7 linked regions of the Rattus norvegicus genome follow. The protein of the gene in region 3 purifies or fractionates together with the protein of the main gene of each other region. This does not show direct contact. Links are inferred from orthologs where the notes say so. Each region holds a gene or a part of one and is shown on either strand. Other genes may lie near its edges. The genes, in order: Ect2, Hdac2, Sirt1, Jun, Brinp1, Usp22 and Ep300.

Region 1 (4,259 bases), on a different chromosome or scaffold from region 3:
AAAAAAGGAAAAAGCCAGGGCTGGAGAGATGGCTCAGTGGTTAAGAGCACTGACTGTCCTTCCAGAGGTCCTGAGTTCAAATCCCAGCACCCACATGATGGCTCACAACCATCTGTAATGAGATCTGATGCCCTCTTCTGGTGGGTTTGAAGACAGCTACAATGTATTATAAATAAACACATCTTTAAAAAAAAATTTTTTTTTAAAAAAAGGAAAAAGCTAAACATGGTAGTAAACATCATCTAAGAAGGCCTTAAGGCAAGAGGATTACTGTGAATTAGAGGCCAGTCTGTGTTACAGAATAAGAGAGTGAGTCCAGTACGGTACACACCTTTTACCCCAAAACTCAGAATAAGACCCTGGTTCAAAAAGGGGGATAGGGGAATCATGGGCTATCTGACTGCTGCTGCCTTTGAGAACCTTTCCTCTAGTTGTCTAGTCTTGCTACAACTTGATTTGGTCAGTTGATATCCATGGGAGGCCTCCGCTTTTCAGAAGAGAAAGGGAGGAGTGGATAGGGTGGGAGAAGGCCTGGGAGAAGAGGAAGGAGGGATATTGTGGTTGAGATGTAAATTAATTTTAAAAGTTAATTAAGGGCTGGAGAGACGCTCAGCAGTTAAGAGCACTGACTGCACTTCCAGAGGTCCTCAGTACAATTCCCAACAACCACATGGTGGCTCACAACCATCTGTAATGGAATCCAATGACCTCTTCTGGTGTGTCTGAAAACAGCTACAGTGTACTTATATATAATAAGTAAATAAATCTTTTTTAAAAAGTTAAGTAATTAATTTTACAAGAGGCTGGTGAGGAGAAGGAAAAAGGGAGAAAGGGTGAGCTGCTCAGCTTTAAGGACTGGAGGGGAATTTGATTTGATTGACCCATGTTCCTTTGAGACAGGATCTCGAAATCCTTGCTGGCCTGATTTCATTCTGCACTCCAAGCTGCTAGGAAACTCATGGTCAATCCTCCTGTGCCAACACTCCTGAGAATTGGGATTAAATGTTCACAAAGCCAAGATAGGATCAGAGATTTTAACAAATCAAAAGGACCACAGGAGCTGGAGGAGTCACATGAAACTTCGTCTCAAAAAAGCCAAAAATAATTAATGAAATGGTCAGTAGAACACTGCTTAATCTAGACTAAAACGTCACCTAAGAAACTCCAATTCCTAACTTAAAGGTTAGTAGAAAGGACTTTGAACATCTCCAGTAAAAGGATAAATGCTTACAGTGATATGGGCATGACCTTGACCTAAGCATTACAGGGGTATAAATGTACTAAAATAGACTAGGGCTGGAGGTGGAGTTTAGTGGTAAAGCCTGGAAAGATTCAGAGTTCAATCTCCCAGACCGCCCCCCACCAAAAAAAAGTCAAAATAAGAGTCTATACTTATGTGTAAACTACGTGCCAGAGCTTTACAATGCACTTTCAACAATACTTCAGCTTACATGACCCTCTTTAAAATTGCCAGTTGACTGATAATGTGTTGCCTAGTGGCACAAGCCTAAAGTTCCAGCACCCACACAACAGGCAGGAGTACACAACTAAACCCTTTCTCACTATGCACCAAAACAGTGAAAATGCATATTATTATCTATTTTCAAAATATACAGCAAAAGAGCTACAGGGCACACTAATGATACATCTAGCACCCAACATCACTGCAAACTGAAATGCACCAGTTTCTTCCTTTTCACACATTCTAGAGGCTTTTTAAAAATAAACACAACAATCTGATCATAAAAAGAACACATCTTTGTCTTGGAATGTGCCTCAGCGTAGCATGCATGAGGTCATCCTCGGGCACCTCAAAACCAAGCAAGGTGAAAGTACATCGGGGAGGAGGTAGAGGCAGGTGGAGTTTTATGTCACCATTGGCTCCACAATTCAAGCCTATTCTGGAATACCTAAGACCCTGTCTCACAACACATGGATTCTTTTAAATAAAGTCATTTTTAGCTTTTCTTTTAAATAAACTTTTTTTCCATAAAAAAGTCATCCAGAGTAAAGAGACAAAACTACAATAGTTTTGAATACGTTGATAATGGTGTTAATTAGCGATTTCATTTACTTAAAGCTCACTATTTTACAGCCACTATCTTAAATCTCCCCCTTACCATTATTTAACCTTTGCAGCCATCCTAAAAGACAAATATCATTGCCATATCCAGTTTGTGGCTAAGAAAGTTGTTCACACAGAGACTCCAAGCCGGGTCTAACTCTGAGGGCGCTAAGTTAACCACTAACCACACACATCTGTGGCCAGGAAGGGGCGGAGCGGCCTGTGTTTTATATTTTAAAAAAATCGAAAATCGGAATTCTGCAGGAATTCCAGAGGGAAACCACAAAACAATCAGGGCAGCTCTGGGCTGCAGCGAGCGGGCGGAAGGGCAAGCAGGAAGCCAAAATCGCTGTCCCAACTGCGCCCTTCACCCTGGGGCGCCTGACAGAAGCAGAATAGAACCCAGATTCCCGCAAGGAAAAACCGGGGCCAGAACAGACGACAGGAAAGGAGGCGGATGTGAGGGAAGAGGATGAAAGGGAGCGGTACAGACAGGTACGCAGCCGTGGGGGCTCACCGCGGCGGGGACGCCGGCCTTGGTCCCCACGGCCGGTGCAGTTCCGGGCACTCGAATCCCTTCCCGTCCCCCACTCACCCCGCAGTCCTCACCACGTTCAGATATTTTAAAAAAAAGAAAAATGAACCACTGCGGCGCAGTCCTCGCTTAACCTTCTCAAACACTGAGTCTCCTCACTGGGGCCGCCATGGCTCGAAGGAGGCTACCGCCTCCGATTCAAAAAACCCAGACGCTCTCTCTCAGAGCCATGCTGATTGGCGCGCTTTGTCAACCTCCTTTTGATAGGCTGGAGTCTCTGGCGGACTGCTTATTGGTCAATCTCAACGACCGCCTCCAGGAGGCGCCGGCTGATTGGCTATGCGTGTGTTTCAAATAAGCTAAACGGCTGGAGCGTGTGGACGTCAGCGAAATGCCCGGATGTGGGCGAGAGGGGGGCGTGGCCTCGGAGCGCCTCTAGACGTAGCAGGTGTTTCTGTGGTGACCGCTTGTTTACTCAGTAAACAGCCAGTTTCCCGAGGCTCAGTCTCTACCATCACCTCCAACTTCAAGAAAAGTAACAAGCACCGCAAACCATTCGGCTCTTACCACTTCCCAGATTTTATATTTGGAGACAAGCTTGCATCTAAGTAACTAAAAAAAAAAAAGTGTAAGGAGATTTTAGAATCCCCTGATGCAAAATTGCTTCTGGGTGGCTTGCTCCTTCTCCCCAGGCCCCACCTCCAATCCCCAGCATAAGAATGTTAGTGACCTTTGAAGTCTAGAAAAGAAATGATCAGGTTTTTTTTTTCGATATTTCTATTCTGAAAATTGTTTCTAGATGTAATGTTCTATAATACAATCTCTTAAACATACACTTCTAGCTGGGTGTGGTTTCAAATCCTGTGACCCCACTTACTAAGGAGGATGGCGCTGGAAGTGGAGAACAAGATCTGCCTGGTCTGCACAGGAGACCCTGTCTCAAAACAGTTATTTTTTTACTTTCAAAACCGAACCCTACCAAGTGGTTGGATCTGTTGCTACGCCCCAAACCTCAATAAGAGGTTTTAAAACCACCTTTTAAATTTAGATTTATTAATTATATGTGTCTGTATTATTTTCCCTGGATGTGTGTGTGTGTGTGCATCTTGTGAGTGCTTGGAGGTAAGGAGGAGGCCAGATCCATTCCCAGGGACTGAAATTAGAGGATTATGAACCACCATGTGGATGCTGGGAATTAAACCCAGGTCCTCTGTGAGAGTAAGAAGTGCTTTTAACCACTGAGCCAACCCACCAGCCCAAGATCTACTTTAAAAACAAAAAGAACTTCTTGACAACCTTAGGAGCTTGACAAGTGTATGGCGAGTTCATAGAATGAGTAAAACAGTCTACAGTCTTTGTCTGGTTGGTTGTTTTTGTTTTGTTTTGTTTTCTGCTTAACATTATCTATGGCCTGACAGTCTCTAGAATTAGCCATTAGAGCGGAAGAAAGAGGGAAAAAAATCAGCCTTGAAATTGCCAACGGGAGTGTGTTTGCAGTTTAAGCTTGGGTGTGTCTGGCATTCCAAACATTCTCCTCACTAAAGTACTTTAAGCTGACGGCCTCAGTGCTGTTTCCTTTGTGCACCGCCCGAGGAGAACAAGCTTCCCAATCTGTTGGATGAGAATGTGGGGTCTGAGTGCAGGAACTGAGATCATCAG
Region 2 (3,430 bases), about 17 Mb from region 3:
TAAAGATACAGTGCACCCGTAAGCAGTGAAAAGGAGCGTCACCAGCACAGACGGACCTGTCCTCTTGTCCTCCGCCTCCTTCTTGTCTTCCTCAATCCTGGCTTTTTTGGCTCCCTTCTTATGATCAGCGACATTCCTACGACCTCCTTCACCTTCATCCTCAGAATCTGAGAACTCTTCATCACAAGCTATCCGCTTGTCTGATGCTCGAACTGGGACACAAACATTTTTATTAATTTGGTAATAGCCAGAGGTTCTACAATCATTACATAAGGTAGATAGATATTGATAGATATCAAGTGCCTACTTTCTGGATGCAGCCATGTTTGTGTAGTCACACAAAATGAAGGGTGATATTAATTCAGGCTTTGAGACATCAGGAAGCTAAATCTCACGTTATTAAATGGAGAAAAGGAGAATCACAACATGTGCTGTGAAGGAGTTTCTTACTAGAAATTCTCTTGTCAGGGTCTTCTCCATCCTCATCACCACTGTCTTCATGAACAGCATCTTCTGGAATAGCTTGCATTTGAACACCAGGCGCATGTGGTAACATTCGCAGATTTTCAAATAAACGCTGTCTAAACGACACAATTTATTAGACAAAATCCACTGTATGCAAAGTTCCTGTTAGACAGAGGAGGAACTAAACAAAAACAAGTTCCCATTTAGCTAACCGCGGAATGGGACACTAGTGGAGCATCGATCACTGCACACACGGCTGACCCCACAGCACACAGCTATGCTTCACTTCACCCCATCTGACGGATGAGGCAACAAGAGCACTTGTCCATGTCCTACAACTGTCTACGGGCGAGAAGACACAGCCCATTCCGCTCACCATTTCTACATTCTGTAGACAGAAAGCACTTGATCTAATAAAAATGTTTCTATTGGGCTGGAGAGATGGCTCAGTGGCTAAGAGCACTGACTGCTCTTCCTGAGGTCCTGAGTTCAATTCCCAGCAACCACATGGTGGCTCACAACCATCTGTAAAGAGATCTGATGCCCTCTTCTGGTGTGTCTGAAGACAGATACAGTGTACTTATATATAATAAATAAATAATCTTAAAAAAAAAGTTTCTATTTACAAAGGTTACATATTTGTGTTATTATTTTAGATTAAAACCACAAATATCCTTAAGGTTTCAAATCATATTAAAACAAAGAGAATATCTCATGTATCTAAAAGTTTCCTTTATTTGACCTTCTATAGCCTCCTGAAACTTCATTAAGGCGAAATGATTTCTTACTTTATCTTTTCCATATATTCTGGAGTGTTCTGGTTTGTCATGTTTGAGGGACTAATATGCAGTTTGAAGTCTGGTCCAAAATACTCGAAGTAATCATTATATGGCAACTCTATTAAAAACAATGAAAAGCAAGTTACACATTGAAAGCTTAGTTTCCAAATAAACTCAGAATCATAATCCAGGTAAAAGAACTATTCCCAAAGGAAGCTTGAGAGTGAGCATGGAATGTTCTCACAGATTCGCACTCTAACCATTCAGCCGTCAGAGGAGATCATACATTCCAGGGGTGTGGCTGCAGACCCTCCCATTCATCCATTTCCACACACTGCATGTTCTTCTAGATACTGCAACCTGAACACCTACCATTGGGAATTTCACAATCAAGGGCAACTGCAGTCTCATACGTCCAACATCGAGCAACATTCCGGATTGTGTAGCCACCTCCGCCAAGCATCAGCAACGGCAAGTTAAAAGTTTTCACTACTTCTACACATTTAGCGTGACCTACGACGAAGAAGATTTGGGTAACATTGAAATATATTCTTTAGCAATTTAAAATAGGACCTTAAAAAGGATAATTACAAACAATTTTACTCAACCAAAAAAAAGGGTCTGTAGACAGCCAGGCAGAGTGGCCCATCCCAACAGTCCCAGCTCTTGGGAAGCTAAGGTAAGGTAAGTGGCGCAGAATCTGGAGGCCAGGCTAGACCATACAGCATGACTACAGGGCAGGCCACCTCACCCCAAGGTGGGGGATGGGGGAGACAATGACAGGGGTGATGACAGGGACTGTATCCAACAAATAACTCGTGTTAAGTATTAAAACACACACACATGTATTTTACTAGCAACACAGGATGCTCATGAGAGGTCACATAAGGGTAAGGGAGAGAAGACACTACACAGATGCTAAATTTTGTTTCTCCTATATGACATGTGTAGCTTAACTACGGAAGGCAATACCAAAAAGTTTGACCACTGACTATCTTTAGGTGCTGGTATTATGGATAATTTTCTTAATTTACTTAATTACAAACCTCACATAGGAACAAGTTTTGAGTTACCAGTAACTTCTGGTGGTATTATCATTCAGGCACACAATGCCATCATTACAGTCCCTCAGGGGCTGGAGAGATGGCTCAGTGGTTAGAGCACTGACTGCTCTCCCAGAGGTTCTGAGTTCAATTCCCAGCAACCACATGGTGGCTCACAACCATCTGTAGTGAGATCTGATGCCCTCTTCTGGTGTGTCTGAAGACAGCTACAGTGTATTCACATACATGAAATAAATAAATAATTCTTAAAAAAAAAAAAGGGGCTGGGGATTTAGCTCAGTGGTAGAGCGCTTACCTAGGAAGCGCAAGGCCCTGGGTTCGGTCCCCAGCTCCGAAAAAAAGAACCAAAAAAAAAAAAAAAAAAAAAAAAAAAAAAAAAAAAAAAAAAAAAAAAAAACAAAAAACAAAGTCCCTCAATGCTGACAGCAGAAATTCATCCATTCCCCACCCCCCCCCCACATTCTCTTCATGGATTTTAGCCTTAATTAAAATAAAAAAGTCCCTTTGCAGCAGGCTTTCACTTGGTATTGAGATGCTGGCTGCCACAAGCATAGAAGCCATTGAATCTTTGGGTCCAGTTAATTTCAGTGTGAGGTTCTGTTGCTTGTTTTGTTTTTCTAACATTTTTATAACAAAGCTTAAAATATTTGGAAAAAATTAAAATTGCACAAGAGAAAAAAAAACCCCATTACCTAATGAGAGTTTACAGTGTCTAATTATCTGTTTTCTTCATGTTATCAACCAGACATCATCTACTAAAACAGTGTTACTGGACATTTCTAAGGACAGAAGTTAACTTACAGACTACAAGGAAAGAGAGCAGACAAGACCAGCGTTCAACCACCCAACAGCAGGCAAAAAGGGGGGGATTTATGAAATGAAGGCTAGAGGGCCTGTAAGAGGAAGCATGGAAATAATTAAGAAATAATAACAGCATAAGAAGAAATAACTGAGAAGTGAGGTGGACAGCAGCTGACCGCCTCACTTCCTTCACGAGGCCTGAGAGAATGCGGCTGAAGTCAGTCACAGAGGTACATTAGAAACTGTCAGTTATCACCTGACAGTACACACCGGGCACAGCTCACTGGCAGAGCACGGTCTTCGGCTCTGAGGGGAGGAACT
Region 3 (3,500 bases):
TCTGAGCCATCGTTCCAGCCCAAAAATGTATCATTTATTTACTTATTTATGGGTTGTTTTTTGTCTTTTGACAGGATCTCACTGTACACACACACACACACCCCTACCCCTGCCTCTGCCTCCCCAAGCATAGGACACCTAGCTTCTCATTATCTGAGATAGGCTGGGTAGCCATTAGGCTTCAAGGATCTGCCTGTCTCTACATCCTAATGCTGAAGTTCGTCAGCACAGTAAGGTCCTGAGAGTCAAATGCTAGGCTGGGATTAAAGGAAATGCATTACCGTATCCAACTAGGAATGTATTTTTAATTATAAATTGTAATGATTAAAACCCAGAACAGTGGCACAAGTCTATAGTCAGAGCTAAGACAGCTGAGGCATGATCACTTAAGTTCAGGTAGCCACCCTAAGTAATGTAAAAAGGGCTAAGGATAAAGTCAGTTGTACAGTGTCTGTGCCTGACACATGGTTAAGTCCTGGGTTCACAACTCCAGCAGCGAAAACAATAAATTACAACAATGAGACAGTGAGATGTCTTGGTAGCTAAAGGCTACCATGCTACCACCTGTTTGATGCCTGGAACCACACGTAAGAATGCTTGCAAGTTGTCCTCTTGACATCCTCATGTGTGTGCGTACATGTGCATACACACATATACACATCACACACATACCAGCAAACAAACTAAAAAAGAAATTGGGGGTTTTTCAAGATAAGGTTTCTCTGTGTGGCCCTGGTTGTCTGGGAACTTGCTCTGTAGACCAGGCTGGACTTCAACTTTCAGATTCACCTGTCTCTGCCTCCTGAGTGCTGGAATTAAAAGCATGTGTTACTACACATGGGTACACAAATCTTAATAAATTTTAATAAACAGGTATGATGACACTGGCCTTTAATCTTTGCATTTGGGAGGCAGAGTAGGACTATATCTCTACAAGTTTGAGGTCAGCCTGGTCTACAAAGGAAGTTCTAGGCTAGCCAGAGCTACATAGTGTGATACTGTCTCTAAATAAATAAAAACTACAAAACTTTTAGATATAATCCTTTTTCTTCAGATAAATCTTAACACTCCCAGTAGGGGAATTGACAAGCTTTATTTCATTCCAGATTTACAGGATTCATTCAACTTGGAGTAAAAGAAAAAAATGTCTCTGGAATACAACTCTAATCCCAATTCTTCAGAAAGAGAAGAAAGTTTGAAATCATCCAAGGCTATAGAGAAAGAAAGAAAAAAAGAAAGAAAGCCAGCCAGCCAGCCAGCCAGCCAGGCATGGTAGTACATACCTGGAATAATCCCATAGCTGGGAGGATCTCTGCCAAGTTCCAGGCCAGACCTGAGTAAGCCCCTGTTTCAAGAATAACACTGGAAGCCTACATACAGAATAGCTCAGCAGTCAGTTAAGGTGCTTCTGACCAAGTCCGAAGTCAAGACTGACAGAGGAAGGAAACAAGCAACTCCCAACTCAGGATGTACGGACTCCCACAGGTGCCACAGCACACAAACTACAACACATACCCAAACATAAAACAAATTTTTCCCTAAAAAAAAAAAAAGCCAACCCTTGTCTCCTTGTCTGAATCACACCTGTAGGCCAAACTAACCCTACTTGGGGCTAAGAAGCTGTGCACACTGACCTGCTTCAGGCACGCCCACCTGCCTCTGCCTCCCACAACTGAGATTCTTTTTTTTTTTGTTCATTTATTATATATGAGTACACTGTTAGCTGTCTTCAGACACACCAGAAGAGGGCATCGGATCTCTTTAGAGATGGTTGTGAGCCACCATGTGGTTGCTGGGAATTGAACTCAGGACCTCTGGAAGAGTAGTCGGGTGCTCTTAACCGCTGAGCCATCTCTCCAGCCCCACAACTGAGATTCTTGATCATCATTTAATACTTTTCACTTTGCTCAAACTGCTCTGGCTGCTAACAATGTCTAACATACTATATAACACAGAATACGACTTGGTTTTAGACCAAGTCAAATGAAAAAGGTCAAGTCTCTACAATCTTACAAAGTTAAAATGAAGAAAAAGGTAAAAATGTTACTTACTCCCTAATATTAAGTTTCTACTTTCTCCATGAAAACTGTCTCCACTAGACTCTTGCTATGACAGACTTCAAAAGGATCTGATTTTTCTAAGTCATCTTGAGGAGCCAGGATTCAGTGTGTAAGAGCTCTAGGGGTTGAAAAGGTGGCTTGATGCTCTTGCAGAGGACTTGGAGGCTCACAAACATCTATCACTACAGTTTCAGGAGATCTGATGCCTTCTGGACTCCTTAAGCACTTCACACAATGGCAGAGAAGCATACATGCAGATAAAACACCCATACACATAAAATTAAAACCAAACAAGTCCAGGAGCTAGAGAGAGAGCCTAGCCATGAAAGAGAACTTGCTGCTCCTTAAAGAGAACTCACGTTTGCCAGCACCCACATGGTGGCCCACATTCCTGGAAACCCAATACTCATTTGTGGCCTCTGTGGGGTACCAGGCATACCATGCACATGTATGCATATAGGCAAAAATCAATCAATCAATTAATCTCTGTGTGTGTGTGTGTTTCTCCTCTTTCTCCTCCTCCTTTCTCCCCCTTCTCTCTCTCACACATGATCTTAAAACAAACAAAAAACCCCGTAATTCCACTTACCAATTGTACTATAAATATACAAAGATTTAAAGTTGTTAAACTTTTCAAAACACTGAACTAGTTTAGCAAATGCTGCTGTCCTCAGTTTTTATGAACAAAGACTACTACATCAAAAGCAAAGCAAACAAAAAAATTAACTGGAAAAGGAATAAAATATATACTAGCTTTTTCTCTTTACTGTTTTCATGTGTCTTACTTACCCCAGCTCCAGTCAGAACTATTATCTTTTTGCACTCTTGTAGTAACTTCACAGCATCTTCAATTGTATTAATATCTTTTCTTTTTTTCCGCTTTGGTGGTTCTGAAAGGATATTAATAACAATCTGCCACAGTGTCATATCATCCAACTCAGGTGGAGGAATTGTTTCTGGTAATAAATCTTTAAGAATTGTTCGAGGATCGGTGCCAATCATGAGGTGTTGCTGAACAAAAGTATATGGACCTATATTAAGGGAAGAAAGAGTCCCGTCATCCCCTTCTAATGGAAGTGCTCTATATTTTCAACCAATGAGGTAGCAATCGATACATTTATATGCAAAGAATATAATTTAAAGATATTTCCTGTCATATCCCTAACTAATCTGACTAATCCAGAGTTTGGGGAGGAAGTGCTTAGGTATAAGGGTTTTTTTGCTTGGTTAGTTGGTTTGGTTTGAGACAGGGTTTCTCTGCATAGCCCTGGCTGTCCTGGAACTTGCTCTGTAGATCGGGCTGGCCTAGAATTCAAGAGATTCTCCTGCCTCTGCTTCCTGAGTGCAGAGATTAAAAAGGTGCATGCCACCACTACCTGGACTGTCTAGGTATTTTGACTAAGCTTAGATGTTTTAAGTATTTTAAAGGTTAGGGGGACT
Region 4 (3,944 bases), on a different chromosome or scaffold from region 3:
CACTGCACCATCTTCTGGTCAACAGTCTGGACTTGTGGGTTGCTGGGGAGAGAGAGAGTATGAGCCAATGATAGCATGCAGGGTGTCTATTCCTACAACCAGACGGGAGGGACTACAGGCTCTCACCCCAGCATACAGACACTCAGCTGTCATTTCACCTAGCTCTCATTATCTATCGATAATGCAGCAGAGAGGTTGGGGGCTACTTCTCAATGGTTTATTGTGTTTTCTTAAATATCCTTTCTGAAAATTTTCAGAAACAAAACATAAAAAAATTATATACTTTATTACAAATGGTAAACTCAGAATGCTTCAAATCTCTTATTTACAAACACTGGGTAGGACACCCAAACAAACAAACATGGAATAACTTACAAAGGCAGGAAGCTGTTTATTATAGACAGTAATCAGCTTTCATCAAATTAAAAAAAAATATATGTACATACATAGTTGAGAGAGGCAGGCCAGGGGAGTTCATCCGCAATCTAGCCTGGTACTCACAAGCCTCCCTCCCCTTCCCAGCCCTCCCTGCTTTGTGTTCTTACGGAGCACTACAGAAGCAATCTACAGTCTCTATTGCAGTTTGTAAGCCCCCACCCACCCCCCTTAATACTGAATGAGATCGAATGTTAGGTCCATGCAGTTCTTGGTCAATGTTAACGAAAAGTCCATCGTTCTGGTCGCGCGGGCACAGCCCGTTCGCAAAGCGTGGCGGCCAACAGGCCGCTGCTCTCTGGCTCCTCGCCAAAGCCAGGCGCGCCACGTCCTTCCCACTCCAGCACACTGGGGGCGCCGTCAGGTCGCAACCCAGTCCATCTTGTGTACCCTTGGCTTCAGTACTCGGACACTTTTTTTTCTCTGTCGCAACCAGTCAAGTTCTCAAGTTTATCTCTGTTATTTTTTTCTTCCACTGCCCCTCAGCCCTGACAGTCTGTCCTCAAAACGTTTGCAACTGCTGCGTTAGCATGAGTTGGCACCCACTGTTAACGTGGTTCATGACTTTCTGTTTAAGCTGTGCCACCTGTTCCCTGAGCATGTTGGCCGTGGACGCCAGCTCGGAGTTTTGCGCTTTCAAGGTTTTCACTTTTTCCTCTAGCCGGGCGATCCGCTCCAGCTTCCTTTTCCGGCACTTGGAGGCAGCGATGCGGTTCCTCATGCGCTTCCTCTCCGCCTTGATCCGCTCCTGAGACTCCATGTCGATGGGGGACAAGGGCGGCGTCTCTCCCGGCATCTCCGGCACCGTCTGCGGCTCTTCCTTCAGCGCCTGCAGCCGCGGGTGCTGCACCGGGATCTGTTGGGGCAAGTGGTGCGGCGGCTGAGGCGGCTGCTGCTGCTGCTGGGGCTGCGATGGAAAGGCCAGCCCGGTCGCGCCATAGGAGGGCGCCCCACCGCCGCTGCTCAGCGCACCCGGGTTGAAGTTGCTGAGGTTGGCGTAGACCGGAGGCTCACTGTGCAGGCTGGCGCTGTAGCCGCCGCCGCCGCCAGCGCCAGCTACTGAGGCCACAGCGGGAGCGACCATGCCCGCCCCACTGACAGGTTGTGCCGCGGAGGTGACACTGGGCAGCGTATTCTGGCTATGCAGTTCAGCTAGGGCGCGCACGAAGCCTTCGGCGAAGCCCTCCTGCTCGTCGGTCACGTTCTTGGGGCACAAGAACTGAGTGGGGGTCGGTGTAGTGGTGATGTGCCCATTGCTGGACTGGATGATCAGGCGCTCCAGCTCCGGCGACGCCAGCTTGAGCAGCCCGACGTCGGGCGACGTGAGAAGGTCCGAGTTCTTGGCTCGGAGGTGCGGCTTCAGATTGCCCACCGGGTCGGCCAGGTTCAAGGTCATGCTCTGCTTCAGAATCTTAGGGTTACTGTAGCCGTAGGCGCCACTCTCGGACTGGAGGAACGAGGCGTTGAGGGCATCGTCGTAGAAGGTCGTTTCCATCTTTGCAGTCATAGAACAGTCGGTCACTTCACGCGGGGTTAGCCTGGGCTGTGCGCAGAAGTTTCGGGGCCGCAACAGCGCGCCGGGAAGCGGGGGATACCCGCGCGTCCCCGCTTCAGTAACAAAGTTTGTTTAGGAGCGTGCGCTCCAGACCGCAGTGCTCCCCCCTGCGCCCTCCTCCCCAGTTCGCTCCAGGGAGCGCAGGGTTAAGACACCGCTTGCACTCACGTTGGTTGGCTCCCGCGCGATCCGGAGCTTTGAAAAGTCGCGGTCACTCACGGAGCGCTCTCGGGAAGCAGCGGTTCCTCGGAGCCCGCGGACCAGCCCCAGCGACAGAGGTTCTCCGGCGGCGCAGACCAGTCGTCACGGAATTCTTGGTGGAAGCCCGCGATCGGGCTCTGCCGCCCGGCCTCCGACAACTGTCCCCTCCTCCGCTGTGAGGGGGAGGGGGACGCTAGGCAGCCGCGGCTAGCACTCGCCCAACTTCAGCCGCCTGTGCGAGCTGGTATGAGTATAGGTTCCTCTTCTCCCTTTTCTTTACGGTCTCGGTGGCAGCCTTAGGCGCAGAAGAGGTTTTGCAAAAGTTCGCTCCGGGCCACTTGTTCCCGGTCCTCTGGGTCAGGAAAGTTGCTGGCCGGTAGCCGCTCGCCTATTTCCTCGCGCGGTCCGGAGCCGTTCTCGATGCTGTCAGCAGTGCCGGGACTTGTGAGCTTCTTCTCCGGGAAAAGCGGGAGAAGGGACTCTCCAAGTGCTCCCCAAAACACCGGTGCAGGAGCTGCGGGCGCTGGATCCAGGCAGTTGGTCAGAAAATGAAGACAAACAGATGAACAGCCCGGAGTCCGCGGACGACCAGGTTAGCCGAGTCCGTCCGTCTGTCTGTCTGCCTGAGCGCTCTCCAGCTAGGCAGTCTCTGCCACACTCAGTGCAACTCTGAGTCCTTATCCAGCCTGAGCTCAACACTTATCTGCTACCAGTCAATCCCTAAAAATAGCCCATGATGTCACCCCAAGGCCTTCCCATTGGCTTGCGTCGCTCTCAAGGGGGCGGGCCCACCCGTCGCCATGGAGACCTCACCCTAGAAGATTCTTCTCTGGGCCCGCGAAGGCTCACGGGATGAGGTAATGCTCCGCTGCGCTCCTACAGTTGGGCCCTTCTTTCTCCACCTCCCTCCCCCTCCCGCGCGTTGCTCCGGCTTGTGTTCCCGGGTTCCCTCCCCGGCGCGTCTTTCCCGGCCCGCCCGGTGCATTGTGGGCTGACGTCTTGGTTTGGCTGTCTAGTGACGGAGGCTGCCGGGTCCGCTGGACCCTTGCGGAGTCTGTCGGAGGCGGGCTCAAGTTCAGGGCTGGGGACCCAGACCGAGACGCGGGGATCCAGAAAGCTGGGGAGACGCGCTGGTGGCCTGGGGCGGAGGGCTTGGGTGGGAGTAGAGGTTACACACACACACACACACACACACACACACACACACACACACACACACACACACACGAACACACGAACACACCCGTGAAAGGGCTGAATGATCTGGGCGATTGAAGCTGGCTCCGCACCCCCGCACTTCCGGGAGACAGAGCGACGCGGGTTAATATGGTTGTGTTCGCCCCGGGTGCGGGAGCGGCAAGTGGGTTGAAGTTGAGCGGGTTTGAGAGTGGCCCTCCCACGCCGAGTGCGCATGGAAGTTTAGTTTCGGAGAAGGATCTGCGCCGCAGTGTGCTGTGCTGGAAACCAGAGATTTGCTGTGCTCGGAATGAATTCACCAGGGTCCCCGGCACAACACTTCATTTTCTGGGGACGTGCCGGGAGGGGTTCGCTTTACCTCGGAGGGACCCCCTTCTAGGTGTGAAAGATGCCACCCCGGCTCCTTGGGGTATGGAAAGCAACATATAAAGGTTCGAAACTCAGGAAACCCCAGCGCTCGCCTGCACTAGCACATACACACAGCCCCGCGCACACTCAGTTCGCGCCCGCCCTTCCTCCCTCCCTGATTTGCTTCTGGGAAAACAAGCCTTGAGAG
Region 5 (3,500 bases), on a different chromosome or scaffold from region 3:
AATTGATTGCACAACTGGCAGATGTCTGGCCTGTGCCTGGGAATGTGTGTCTCAGAATAAGCAGACAGGACATTAAAGATGACCAAATACACAGACTGGATCCATAATGTCCACTGTCTACCACCACTTCTCACTTCACAGTATCACGCTAGGTGTTGAATGGATGAATGAATGAATGAATGAATGAATACATTGAACCACAAATATGGAATTCTCAAGCCTAGACTTCAAAATCAGAAAAAATAAAAACCACTATCATTAATTTGCCATATGACATAAGGAAGTCACTTAACTCCTCTAAGTGTAACCAAGCTCAAGCTATCAATGGGGGACACATGTGAAAACTTCAAGTGCCTGGCACAGGGAGTCTTCAGAAATGACCGCTGGTTACAAAATGCCCCTATAAATGGCAGTGAGTACACAGGTACCATTATCAGGCAAAAACAGTACAATTGTCTCCAGTTTTAAAAGAAGGTTCAGCAATAACTCCAATGAGTGCCACTACAGGATTAATGAATAAATAAATCTAGAATCTATCTATCGTGTCTTTGTAACTTTGTCTTCCAAGATTCAAGATGGCGACACAAAGGAACCTCTGTATGGAATGAAAATAGCCATGAAATTAAAATGGTTTTATATATAATGGTCCCTTCCCTTACTCCCCATTCTTTTGAGCTGAAGTGTGTGTTCAACTGTAAAAGCACAGCCTCCACTGAAGGGAAAGCCAACTTGTGGGAAGATACAGAGCATCTTATACATGTAGGCTGGTATCTTGTCCTTCCTCAGTCTCTAGCTTCCATTTTCTGTAAATTTAGCAGTGCTTTTATGTAAAGAAATAAAGTGATTATAGTTTTCAGGTTATTATTATTAATATTGCATCATCATCAACATGGTGTCATCATCATCAATGTGCATATTTACCTCTCCATATGGTCATATTATGTAATTGGAAGCATGCATCTCACACAATACATATATTGACCAGAGGGCAACTTTGTGGAGTTTGTTCTCTTCCTTCAACCTTTATTTGAATAGGAGGCGATCAAACTCAGGTAATCAGGTATATGCAGTACGCACCTTTACCAGCTGCCCAATGTTTGTTTCTTTCTTTCTTTCAAATAATTCCTTCTGTTTATGCTGAATAATAGTATGCTTCTCATTGAGTAAGACTTAACATTACTAACTTATTTTACTATAGTTACTTTATCTGGGTCATAGGCTGGCTTTCTTCAAATCTAGCAGTGAGGCATGTTCAAGTGTTGTGAGTCCTGAGATAGCTTCAAGCAAACAGGAAAACAAAAACAAAAACCAAAAAAAAAACTTCCCAGAGCCAAATTGCACATAGAAGCCAGCGTTAGTGTAAAACTGGCTCATTGAGAGGCCTCTGTGCAATTTGTTTGAGAAATCCCTCCTAAAGAGGCAGGCTGCACATTCCAGGATGCACAGAAGAGGATTATCTCCTGACAGGGCTTCAATATGTCAATTCTATACCTCATCTGGGGGTAGAGAACTACTTGGCAATAATGAAAACCAATCCTTTGCCGCTACCAGACTCTCATGGCTTCATAAAGATCTGTCTCTAGTGCCAAACTCTTTAATAACATAATACCCCCAATATAGAGGATTCTTCCTGGATAAGCTAGTCCTTTGTTTGTTGAACTGATTCATTCCTCTCCTTGCTACCCTCCTCCCCAGTCAGGTTCTCCTCCGCTCACAGGTTTTTCTACTAATGATCAATTTCTGATTTAAGCTGCCTGAGTCCAACTTGACCTTCCCCCTCTGTCTCTTCTCTCTAGTGATGTCTTAGAGATTTTTAATATGAGACAAGATGTACATTTTACTCAGAAGTTAGAGCAAAGACGGAGATGGAAAATGTAGCCATAATCAAGTTTAAGAAAATTTAGGACAGAGAAAAATATCCTCTGACGAATTAATTCCTTATTTCAAGAAGAATGTCCTCCCGCACTTTCTTTGTAGAGGTCATCTCTAAACTCCCTGTACTGGAAATGGAATCTTAAATTTCCTGTACTGAAAGCCACTGACTTGATAGTCCAGAGCTAATATAGTCAACGTGTCTCCTTGACTTTGAATTAGTTAGAATCGAATCGACTTACAAAGGTATTTCCTCTGTAGACATAGTCAAGTGTTCGCTAATCACATGTGACTAAACCCACTTCCTGGCCAGTAAAGATAGAGGTATTTCCAGTATCTCGGAAGGTTCTGTGGGCAGTGTTAGTGCAAATGAACAGTGATCCGTGAGCAGGATGGCTGAGTATTCATTCACAAGTGAGTAGTTGTCCATAAAATCATCTATTTAACATACACGGACAGCACTATAGTTAATTCAACAATGGTCATAGCAAAATATATTTATAAGTCACTAGATAAGGCCATCCTAATGAAGACACTCGTTTTCTAAGAGATTTGGTAAGATCGATATGAGTGGTGGGTGAAGCAAAGTATGTTTGCTATCTGCTTTCAGATTGTCTCTATCGTGGTTCTGTTTTCTTGAGAATCTAAGTACACCCTAAGGCTGTACCTTGATTGCTCCAGTTGAAATCTGGATCTCATGGAGCCTTCTCATGGTGCCATCACGGTCGACAAAGTAGGATGATGCAAGCTGGTGCAAAGCTTCAACACTTTGGGTAGCATTTCCTGACTTCCGGTCGAGGCGACTTTTGTCCATGTACATGGTCAAAGCCTCCTCTCCTGCAGGGGAAAGAACAGAAGATGAGAAAGGTTATTCCAATTTCAGTGTGGGATGAGGGATTCCGGAGTTGGGATGCTGAAGACAGACATATACTCCAACCAAGCAGTCTGAATATCCCTGTACCCATAAAATCAAGGGCACAGTGCAGAAGATGTAATCCAGAGTTGTTATAGATCCCATTAAAGCAATGACCATCAAATAATGAACAGCAATCACAGTTCATTTCCAAATAAACCTGTTCATGTATTTCAAGGGCCTTGTCTTACCTAATGAAATTCTCTAGTTCTAAGAACGTTTATGATTGATTTGGCATAGATACCTTTTCTTTGTATTTTTCCTTCTGTTTCAATACAACTTAATTCTTCCTTTTCATTTTTGCTACCATTTCCTTATCATTTCTTCATATCCATCCTTTTTTTATTCTCAGTGTACTCATTTATTGATAGACCAATCCAGGTAATAGATATGTAGAGTAATAATAGACAGATACAGGAAAGGGAGTGAATAGACAGGTAAATTCTTAGGTGGTTGTATGGAGAGAGAAGGAATGAGATAGAGAGATAGAGACTTTTTAGATGATTGATGAATGGAGCAGTGAAATTAAGTTATAAATAAAATCTATCTTACAGATATAAATATGACTATATGAACTTATAGATTTTCTTTCATGAATTTTCCTAGAAATTCATATATAGATTCCTAATACTACCAAGGTATTATGGTATTGGATGTGCTAGTAATCTATTTCAATGTAAGATTGTGAAAAACTCTAGATGTTTTCAGCAAGTAG
Region 6 (3,500 bases), on a different chromosome or scaffold from region 3:
CATACTTGTGCCTGTCGATGCCTGTCCCCTCGCTCAGGGGCGGAACCTGCTCAGGTTTGATATCAGGACCTACTGTCTAAGTAGACTCAGGCCAGGTGTTAGAACTGAAATAACTTCTTTTCCCATCCTAGAAATAGAGTGGCCCCTTCCCTGCACAGAAGCCAGCAGACAGGCCTCATCTCTTTCAGGGGTCTTTTACCACTCTGCATCCAGGCATTTTTGCTCACAGGTTGTCTGGGCTGCTTTATGTCACAGCCCAGGGTTGAGCAGTGGACAGTTACACAGTGGCTTTGCAACTGAGATGACTCAGCTGAACAAAATGAGTCCTGGACTTCACTGGGGTAAACAGCCAGTTACAATGTGACAAATGCGTCTCTCTTGATTTATTTTTTTAAACTCAGGCTTAGTAAAGTATAATTTGTATCCAGTGAAACATCCTAGTATATAGTTCTGTGAGTTGACAAATGTGAGGCACCTCCACCTTCATAGGCGACACAGGTTTTTGTCCCCAGAATTCCCATTCCCATGCATGTGACATGGATGGCTGTGTAGCACATTTCCCAAGTGTTGTGTATATGCAATATTCCACCCTTCTACTAGGTTTGCCTGTGTCTCCTTGGTGTGGCACATCAAGGTCCATGTGGGCTCTCTCTCTTGCCAAAGAACATTTCTTTTGCGGAGTGGTCATAGTGCAGTTAGTGGGGGCCTGGGTCCGACACTGCTGTGGTTTCCAGTTTTTACTGTTACAGATGTAAATGTTTCAGTATACAGGGTTTTGTGGAAAGTGTTTCTCTCCAGCACCTTGGTTAAGCTGCTGTCCTTGGTTTTCAGTGTGCAGTGTTAGTCTACTGCAGCAAGTACGTCGTGGCTTTAGTGCCGTGTGGATCTGCTGCTCGCTCTAGTCTCTAGCTGTTCATTACTAGTAGAAGTTAAACACCTTCCATCTGATAAACAAAGCCCAAAATGTTACACATTCCAACACTGTGGTTACCAATTCAATGCCACAAACAGAGAATTCCTTCCACACCTTCCCTGGTCAGTATATACTTCCTAAGTTACCTTCAGACTGTCTATTGAGTTTCTCTGGGTTTCTATTTCTAATACATGAAAACACAATATCCAGTTTTATGGGTCCTGACAGGAACTGTAGAGGTCACCAAACCAAACAAACCGTGAAAGCCTAACCGTCACAGCTGCGGGTCCAGGTAGGCGCTGACTCTGGGGTGACCATCCCAGCAGCACTTCCAGGATTGCGTTGTATGGCCTCACCTCAGCCTGATTTAACACACAACACATCCACTTTGCTCCCTGTGTCAGTGCCCGTAAGACTGCCTGAGACGCCTCAGTGACTAAGACTGTTCTGTGGTTTACTGTCCATGCAGTCTTCTGCTTTTACCAAAATGCAACGAAGCCATTTCAGAAAACAAAGGCATTGAGTATTTTCCTGCCATTTCTCAACATGTAACTATGTCTTCATATATCTCTAGATTGTGGTGTTGAATCTTTGTTTTGAAAAATTGCTGTTTGAATTGATGAACTGAGTTTCAGAGTTTTTTGGTTTTGTTTTTAAAGGCTTAGGATTAAAACGGAATTTCCCCATTTCTAAAATGGCCTTAAATGTACTTAATTTTGTACTGTGGGTTTCCATGAAGTGGCTTCTCAGGCAAAAGAAGCCCTGGTTATAATGATGATGAACTTAGGAAATGCATTCTGGTATAAATGGGTGTCTGGTTGGCTCTTGGCATTACTGTGCCGTTGATCACTTTCCTTAGAAGAGATGTATGATCCTTTTAAGAATGAACTTATAATTCTCAGTCTACAGACAGCCTTTGGATGAAGCTCGGCAGTAGACCTATTGCTTGGTATACCTGAGGCCCTGAGTTTGAGTCCCTCATTGCAAAATGGCCCAGGAGTTAGCTTTGGTTTTTTCGGGATGCAAAAGGGCTTGCAGGCTCAGGAGACTCGCTCACTTGATAGCTGTTTGCATTGGTGACAGATTGGTACTGGCAGCCATTTACAAAGCAGCAACATCAGTTGGGTGAGGAATCAGGAATGCCCCATTCCTTGAGTGTAGGGCTTATTGTACACATAGACCAATGATAAAAAGCAGCAGGATGGCCTTGAGGAAGAGATGCTGGCACAGGCTCTGCGTCCTTGCCCCGAAATCTGAACTCCGAATAGTCTGAGACCTACAACTTCTGAGCACACAAGCATTTTCAGACTGCTGGGTTCAGTAATGTCCTGGCAAGTATTCCAAACTCTGAGACATTCAATTCTTCTCGCCCAGTCATATGATATCTAGCTAGAATGCCACTTGATAAAACTCAGGTAAATAAGTAAATGTCAGCAGCTGTGTGAGGAATAGGCTCAAACACAACAGTGGCTCAGAAGGGGAAACCTGAGCTGCTCACTGGTCATATGTGTCTAACCAGGCAGGGCTCTCTGGGCTCTCCACTGCAGGAAGCATGATGTGGAAGTGAGCCTCTGGGTCTAGTGTCTCAGCAGTAGACTTCTCTTGGCTCCCTGAGCATGTGCAAGATATAAGGCCAGCTGCAGTTTGCTCATGTTCAGTGGCCCCATTGCAGCCAGACACCACCCAGGAGGGTGGGCAGGGTTTTGTGAGGCACACATTGTAGAGTGAGTCACTTGAGTTTGCTATTTGTTGTGTGGGCTTATCAGTGGAAATAAAGTGGAGGAAAGTGGGTCCACATAACAATCCAGTTTGCAAACAGAAAGCAAGTCCATTTGATCAAACTAGTCCTACCCAGTCTGCAGCTGTGATGTTTTGTATGATGAAGACTGGCAGGTGTCCTATTGTCCCTTTCCTTCTCTTTAAACAGTTTTACTCGGGGCACCGCTCCCCACACATTCCGTACAAGCTGCTGCACCTGGTGTGGACGCACGCCCGGCACCTGGCAGGTTATGAGCAGCAGGACGCCCATGAGTTCCTCATTGCAGCCCTGGACGTCCTCCACCGGCACTGCAAAGGTGGGCCTGCTACCATCTCCCTGCTAGGCTGAGGCAAGCGGGGGTTCCCATAGCAATGGTGCAGAGCAAGGCTGGTGCGCACCCAGGCAACTGTGGGAGTGTGCCTGATTGTCTCGTGTAGTCAGTATAGTCAGGTTCTGTTTCCAGTAAGGAAAACTGCAGGGTTGCTTCCAGGGAGTCCTCCACAGTGTGTTTGTTAGTGTCGGTTGGTTTGGGGTATTTGGAAGCAAGGTCTCACTGCGTAGCTAATACTGGCCTAAAGCGGTAGTCCTCTTGTCTCAGCCCCGAGTGAGTGCTGGGATTACAGGTGGGGATCTGTACAAGAGGAAAGATCCCAGAGTCAGTGCGCTGGTGTACACACCTACAGTCCCGCACCCAGTGGCAGAGGCAGGCAGATCTTCTGCCAGTTGAAGGTCAGCCAAAGAAATACCTTACCCTGTCAGGAGAGATCTCTTCTGGAATGACTCTTCATAGAGTATTGGTGTTCCTGCCTCTGCTGAGTGGATGTGGAC
Region 7 (3,500 bases), on a different chromosome or scaffold from region 3:
AAACTCACAGAGATCTGCCTACCTCTGTAGGGACTAAAGGAATTCACATGCACCACAACCAACCAGCTGGCTTTCTGTTTTTAAAAAGCTTTCATTATATGGCAAAAATGAAAATGTCACTAATTTATCACAATGTATTTCCTTCTTTCTTTTAGAGAGGGGATCACTATCTACCCTTGGTTCACTATATACACAGCCCACTATGTAAAGCAGATTGGTTGGTCTCCTCAGAACTCCCAGAGATCTATATACTTCAGTTTCCTGAATGCTGGAATTAAACACATGAAATTACCATACCCAATTCTTTCTTTTTTGAGACAAAGTGTTCCTACTTAGCCCAAGATGGCCTGCAATTCCCTATATAGATGAGTCGGGCTTCAAATTCAAGAGATCTACCTGCTTTTGCCTATCCACTGCTAGTAAAGACATGTACAACCATATCCTACCCATGATAGATTCAGCTATTAAATGTTAGATTTATTACTTTACTTTATATGTAAAAGCATTCGACCTGCATACAGCACATGTGTGCACCATGTGTGCACCTGATGCCCACAGAGGCCAAAAAAGGGAAGTCAGTCAGATCACCTGGAATTAGAGCCAAGGATGGCTGTGAACAACCATGTGGGTGCTGGGAATCAAATCTGGGTCCTCTGCAAGAGCAACTGCTCTAAACTGCTGATCCATTTCTCCAGACCCCCACGACACGTGTGAACTCTGAGTCATCCTGCCTTAATTTCCAGAGTGAGATTTTAGGCAAGCACTACTTTGCTCATCTGTAAATCACCTAACACCTAGCCTTTCTATATTTGGAATTTTATGTATTAAAAAGAAACTTTAACGAATTAACATAACAATTACATGTTCTAAGACCGAACAAGACTTATCAAAAGAGAAGACAGAAGATAGTAGACTGGTACATTTCTATGTTCTAACTGACCTTGTAGTCATGGACAATGCGTTCTGACACAGCCTTGTCAAGCATCTTTTTGTACCATTCTTGCAGGCGCTTGGGCTTTGGTATCTTCTGATCGGGTGGATGGCAATGGAAGATATAGTCATCTCCTTCACTTGGTGGACAGGCCCAGATATGCCCTGTTGTGTATCTAAAAACACAAAGAGAAGGACATCAAGAAATAATTCGTGTTCGAGAAAGCTATAGTAACCTTCCTAGGGTTGTGGAGGATACAGGTGCAAATCCCTGCACACAGTACACCATGGACAAGGACAGAAATGCTCACTCTCAACAAGACCTGGAGCATCTGCTCTAATAGTTCTCACACTACCTACTTGTTTTGAAAGGCCATGGAGGAAGGTTGTGAATTTCATTTATAGAGGGGCTTGGTTCTTGATCCTAAATCCTCAAATCTGTTTTTTTTTTTTTTTTTTTTTTGGAGCTGGGGACCGAACCCAGGGCCTTGCGCTTCCTAGGTAAGCGCTCTACCACTGAGCTAAATCCCCAGCCCCCTCAAATCTGTATTTTAAGGTCAAAGAAGAGATGAAAGCCATCTAACAAATTAAGTGGAAGGTGGCAAGTACTCTCCAGGATGTATGGACTTGAATTTAAAGCTAGGGCTAGTTTCATATCTAAACTTATGAATGAACTTGTACCCTCTAGCCCAGGCCTCTTGTATGCTGGGACTCTAAGTGTATACCATCACATTCAGCCTGTTTTCATTATTTATACTCAATTATAAAAGGATCAAGGAAATATTTCTCATTTTCAAATGAATAATACTAATGGTTTCAACAAAACAGACCTAATGGATTAATTTATTAGTTAACACATGGTGATATCATCTTTATATCATAGAAGATCTAAGAAATTGAGGTCATGGCTTCACTATATCAAAACCAACATGAGAAAGCCAAAATATATACTTACACATTTTCTACAACATATCACTTTTTAATATGCTTACCCTAATTTCTTGACATACTCCAAATATCCAATTAGAATTTCATGATAGACTGCAGTCCGCAAGCATTTAGGACGGAAGAAATGAACACTATCGAGGTAAGATATGTATACTCTCCTATATTAAAAACAAAGAAAAATGTTTCATTACGTATCATTATTTACTTGGCTAAAGACATCACCATTCTTTCCTGTGTTCTTTTTACTTCTAACTATCATAGGGAAATCACAGGTGTGACTATGGGGACCTGGGTTGGCCTTGGCTTCCGTGTATGATTGACCTAATACATGCTATGCGCACCATCCTGTTTCTGCCCAATGTGCTTTTCTACTAGTTATAACATGAACCCAATCCCAAATGAGAGGTTGGTCACATAGAGTCCTACCTCTGGTTGGGAGGGGGACAGTCAGAGCCATATTCTTGAACATGCATGCCGAAGAAACACAAGTCAACACCATCAATTTCTTCAAAGGCAAACAGGGCCTTGGTTCGATATGGAAAAGATTCTGCCATCTCTCCACTATCTACAAACCTACATAATCCAGATTAAAAGGAAAACACAAATCATTGAAGGTTGAAATCAACAATAACCAGTGTGCACAGTTGTAGGTCTGTAAGAAGTGAATGGGAGATTACTAGACACCTTGCTTTCATGCCTGGTTTCACCTCCACAGTTTTGTCAGAAGCATGAACAACCCGAACAGTGACCTCTCCTGATTCAGGGTGATTTTGTCGCCTCAGAAAGTCATTCACTCGATTCTCCAGAAAGGTCCCAAGTCTGGTAGAAGGCAATCCTAGAAATATGAAAGTTACAAGTCACCAAGGTGTGGCCTTCTATACATTCCTAATGTCAAAGAGCAGGAGTGAAGTTACTGGGGCTGAAATTTCCTGTCAATACTGACAGGGTCAACCAACCTGATGTATTTGTTTTTTCAATATAGTAAGGTAACTGATATCTTATCTCTCAACACAAAGTATTAGGTAATGCTAGAAGGTGTTTGTAAATTAATTCTACCGTGATTCTAGTCAATCACTTTTACATGTGCCCCACATTATGATTATGTGCCAGAATAGGAAAAATATAGGGGAAAAATGCATTAAAAATTTCAGCAATTTTTTTCTTTTCTTTTTTTTTTTTCCGGAGCTGGGGACCAAACCCAGGGCCTTGCGCTCGCTAGGCAAGCGCTCTACCGCTGAGCTAAATCCCCAACCCCAAATTTCAGCAATTTTAATAGTTCAATATTCAGTATGCTACAGAATTATTTTAGCTAAATCTCTTTTTCTCTTTTGAAAGAGGGGCTCAACTATGTAGATGAGGCTGGCCTCAAACTCAGGTCCGCCTGCCTCCCGAGTACAGGGCTTAGAGGTGTGCACCACAACACTTGTTATAAACAGTTAAAATTCATTAATTTTGGCTAGTTTCATTTTCACTAAGATTCAGGATATATATATATATATAATATATAATTTTAAAGACAGGGCAGGCCAGCTGCAAACTCAGAAATCTGCCAGCATCTTCCTCCCAAGTGCTGGGATTTAAGGTGTGTGCCACCACCTCCCAGCTATTTATAATTTTTAAAG

What was found.
Region 1: the proteins of Sirt1 (region 3) and Ect2 purify together in Homo sapiens (affinity purification with mass spectrometry; 3 studies listed by BioGRID). This does not show direct contact. The link is inferred for Rattus norvegicus from reciprocal best matches to the Homo sapiens genes SIRT1 and ECT2.
Region 2: the proteins of Sirt1 (region 3) and Hdac2 purify together in Homo sapiens (affinity purification with mass spectrometry; 3 studies listed by BioGRID and IntAct, with this or other methods). This does not show direct contact. The link is inferred for Rattus norvegicus from reciprocal best matches to the Homo sapiens genes SIRT1 and HDAC2.
Region 4: the proteins of Sirt1 (region 3) and Jun purify together in Homo sapiens (affinity purification with mass spectrometry; 4 studies listed by BioGRID and IntAct, with this or other methods). This does not show direct contact. The link is inferred for Rattus norvegicus from reciprocal best matches to the Homo sapiens genes SIRT1 and JUN.
Region 5: the proteins of Sirt1 (region 3) and Brinp1 purify together in Homo sapiens (affinity purification with western blotting; 6 studies listed by BioGRID and IntAct, with this or other methods). This does not show direct contact. The link is inferred for Rattus norvegicus from reciprocal best matches to the Homo sapiens genes SIRT1 and BRINP1.
Region 6: the proteins of Sirt1 (region 3) and Usp22 purify together in Homo sapiens (affinity purification with western blotting; 10 studies listed by BioGRID and IntAct, with this or other methods). This does not show direct contact. The link is inferred for Rattus norvegicus from reciprocal best matches to the Homo sapiens genes SIRT1 and USP22.
Region 7: the proteins of Sirt1 (region 3) and Ep300 purify together in Homo sapiens (affinity purification with western blotting; 3 studies listed by BioGRID and IntAct, with this or other methods). This does not show direct contact. The link is inferred for Rattus norvegicus from reciprocal best matches to the Homo sapiens genes SIRT1 and EP300.

Annotation. Positions count from the first base shown.
Region 1 is NC_086020.1:111,963,827-111,968,085, forward strand, and holds the start of Ect2 (protein ECT2), read right to left. Parts: upstream 2,801-4,259; 5' UTR 2,675-2,800; exon of another isoform or gene 2,583-2,674; intron 2,542-2,582; exon of another isoform or gene 2,121-2,541; intron 1-2,120. UniProt on the Homo sapiens protein: Guanine nucleotide exchange factor (GEF) that catalyzes the exchange of GDP for GTP. Promotes guanine nucleotide exchange on the Rho family members of small GTPases, like RHOA, RHOC, RAC1 and CDC42.
Region 2 is NC_086038.1:42,120,127-42,123,556, reverse strand, and holds part of Hdac2 (histone deacetylase 2), read right to left. Parts: intron 1,758-3,430; coding exon 1,617-1,757; intron 1,363-1,616; coding exon 1,254-1,362; intron 582-1,253; coding exon 451-581; intron 213-450; coding exon 57-212; coding exon of another isoform or gene 1-56. UniProt on the Homo sapiens protein: Histone deacetylase that catalyzes the deacetylation of lysine residues on the N-terminal part of the core histones (H2A, H2B, H3 and H4).
Region 3 is NC_086038.1:25,308,953-25,312,452, reverse strand, and holds part of Sirt1 (NAD-dependent protein deacetylase sirtuin-1), read right to left. Parts: intron 3,092-3,500; coding exon 2,850-3,091; intron 1-2,849. UniProt on the Homo sapiens protein: NAD-dependent protein deacetylase that links transcriptional regulation directly to intracellular energetics and participates in the coordination of several separated cellular functions such as cell cycle, response to DNA damage, metabolism, apoptosis and autophagy.
Region 4 is NC_086023.1:115,010,194-115,014,137, forward strand, and holds the start of Jun (transcription factor Jun), read right to left. Parts: upstream 2,801-3,944; 5' UTR 1,943-2,800; coding exon 938-1,942; 3' UTR 1-937. UniProt on the Homo sapiens protein: Transcription factor that recognizes and binds to the AP-1 consensus motif 5'-TGA[GC]TCA-3'.
Region 5 is NC_086023.1:87,433,081-87,436,580, forward strand, and holds part of Brinp1 (BMP/retinoic acid-inducible neural-specific protein 1), read right to left. Parts: intron 2,710-3,500; coding exon 2,540-2,709; intron 1-2,539. UniProt on the Homo sapiens protein: Plays a role in neurogenesis and brain development. May suppress cell cycle progression in postmitotic neurons by inhibiting G1/S transition.
Region 6 is NC_086028.1:46,337,940-46,341,439, reverse strand, and holds part of Usp22 (ubiquitin carboxyl-terminal hydrolase 22), read left to right. Parts: intron 1-2,840; coding exon 2,841-2,988; intron 2,989-3,500. UniProt on the Homo sapiens protein: Deubiquitinase that plays a role in several cellular processes including transcriptional regulation, cell cycle progression or innate immunity.
Region 7 is NC_086025.1:115,046,857-115,050,356, reverse strand, and holds part of Ep300 (histone acetyltransferase p300), read right to left. Parts: intron 2,714-3,500; coding exon 2,563-2,713; intron 2,452-2,562; coding exon 2,305-2,451; intron 2,037-2,304; coding exon 1,923-2,036; intron 1,107-1,922; coding exon 941-1,106; intron 1-940. UniProt on the Homo sapiens protein: Functions as a histone acetyltransferase and regulates transcription via chromatin remodeling. Acetylates all four core histones in nucleosomes. Histone acetylation gives an epigenetic tag for transcriptional activation.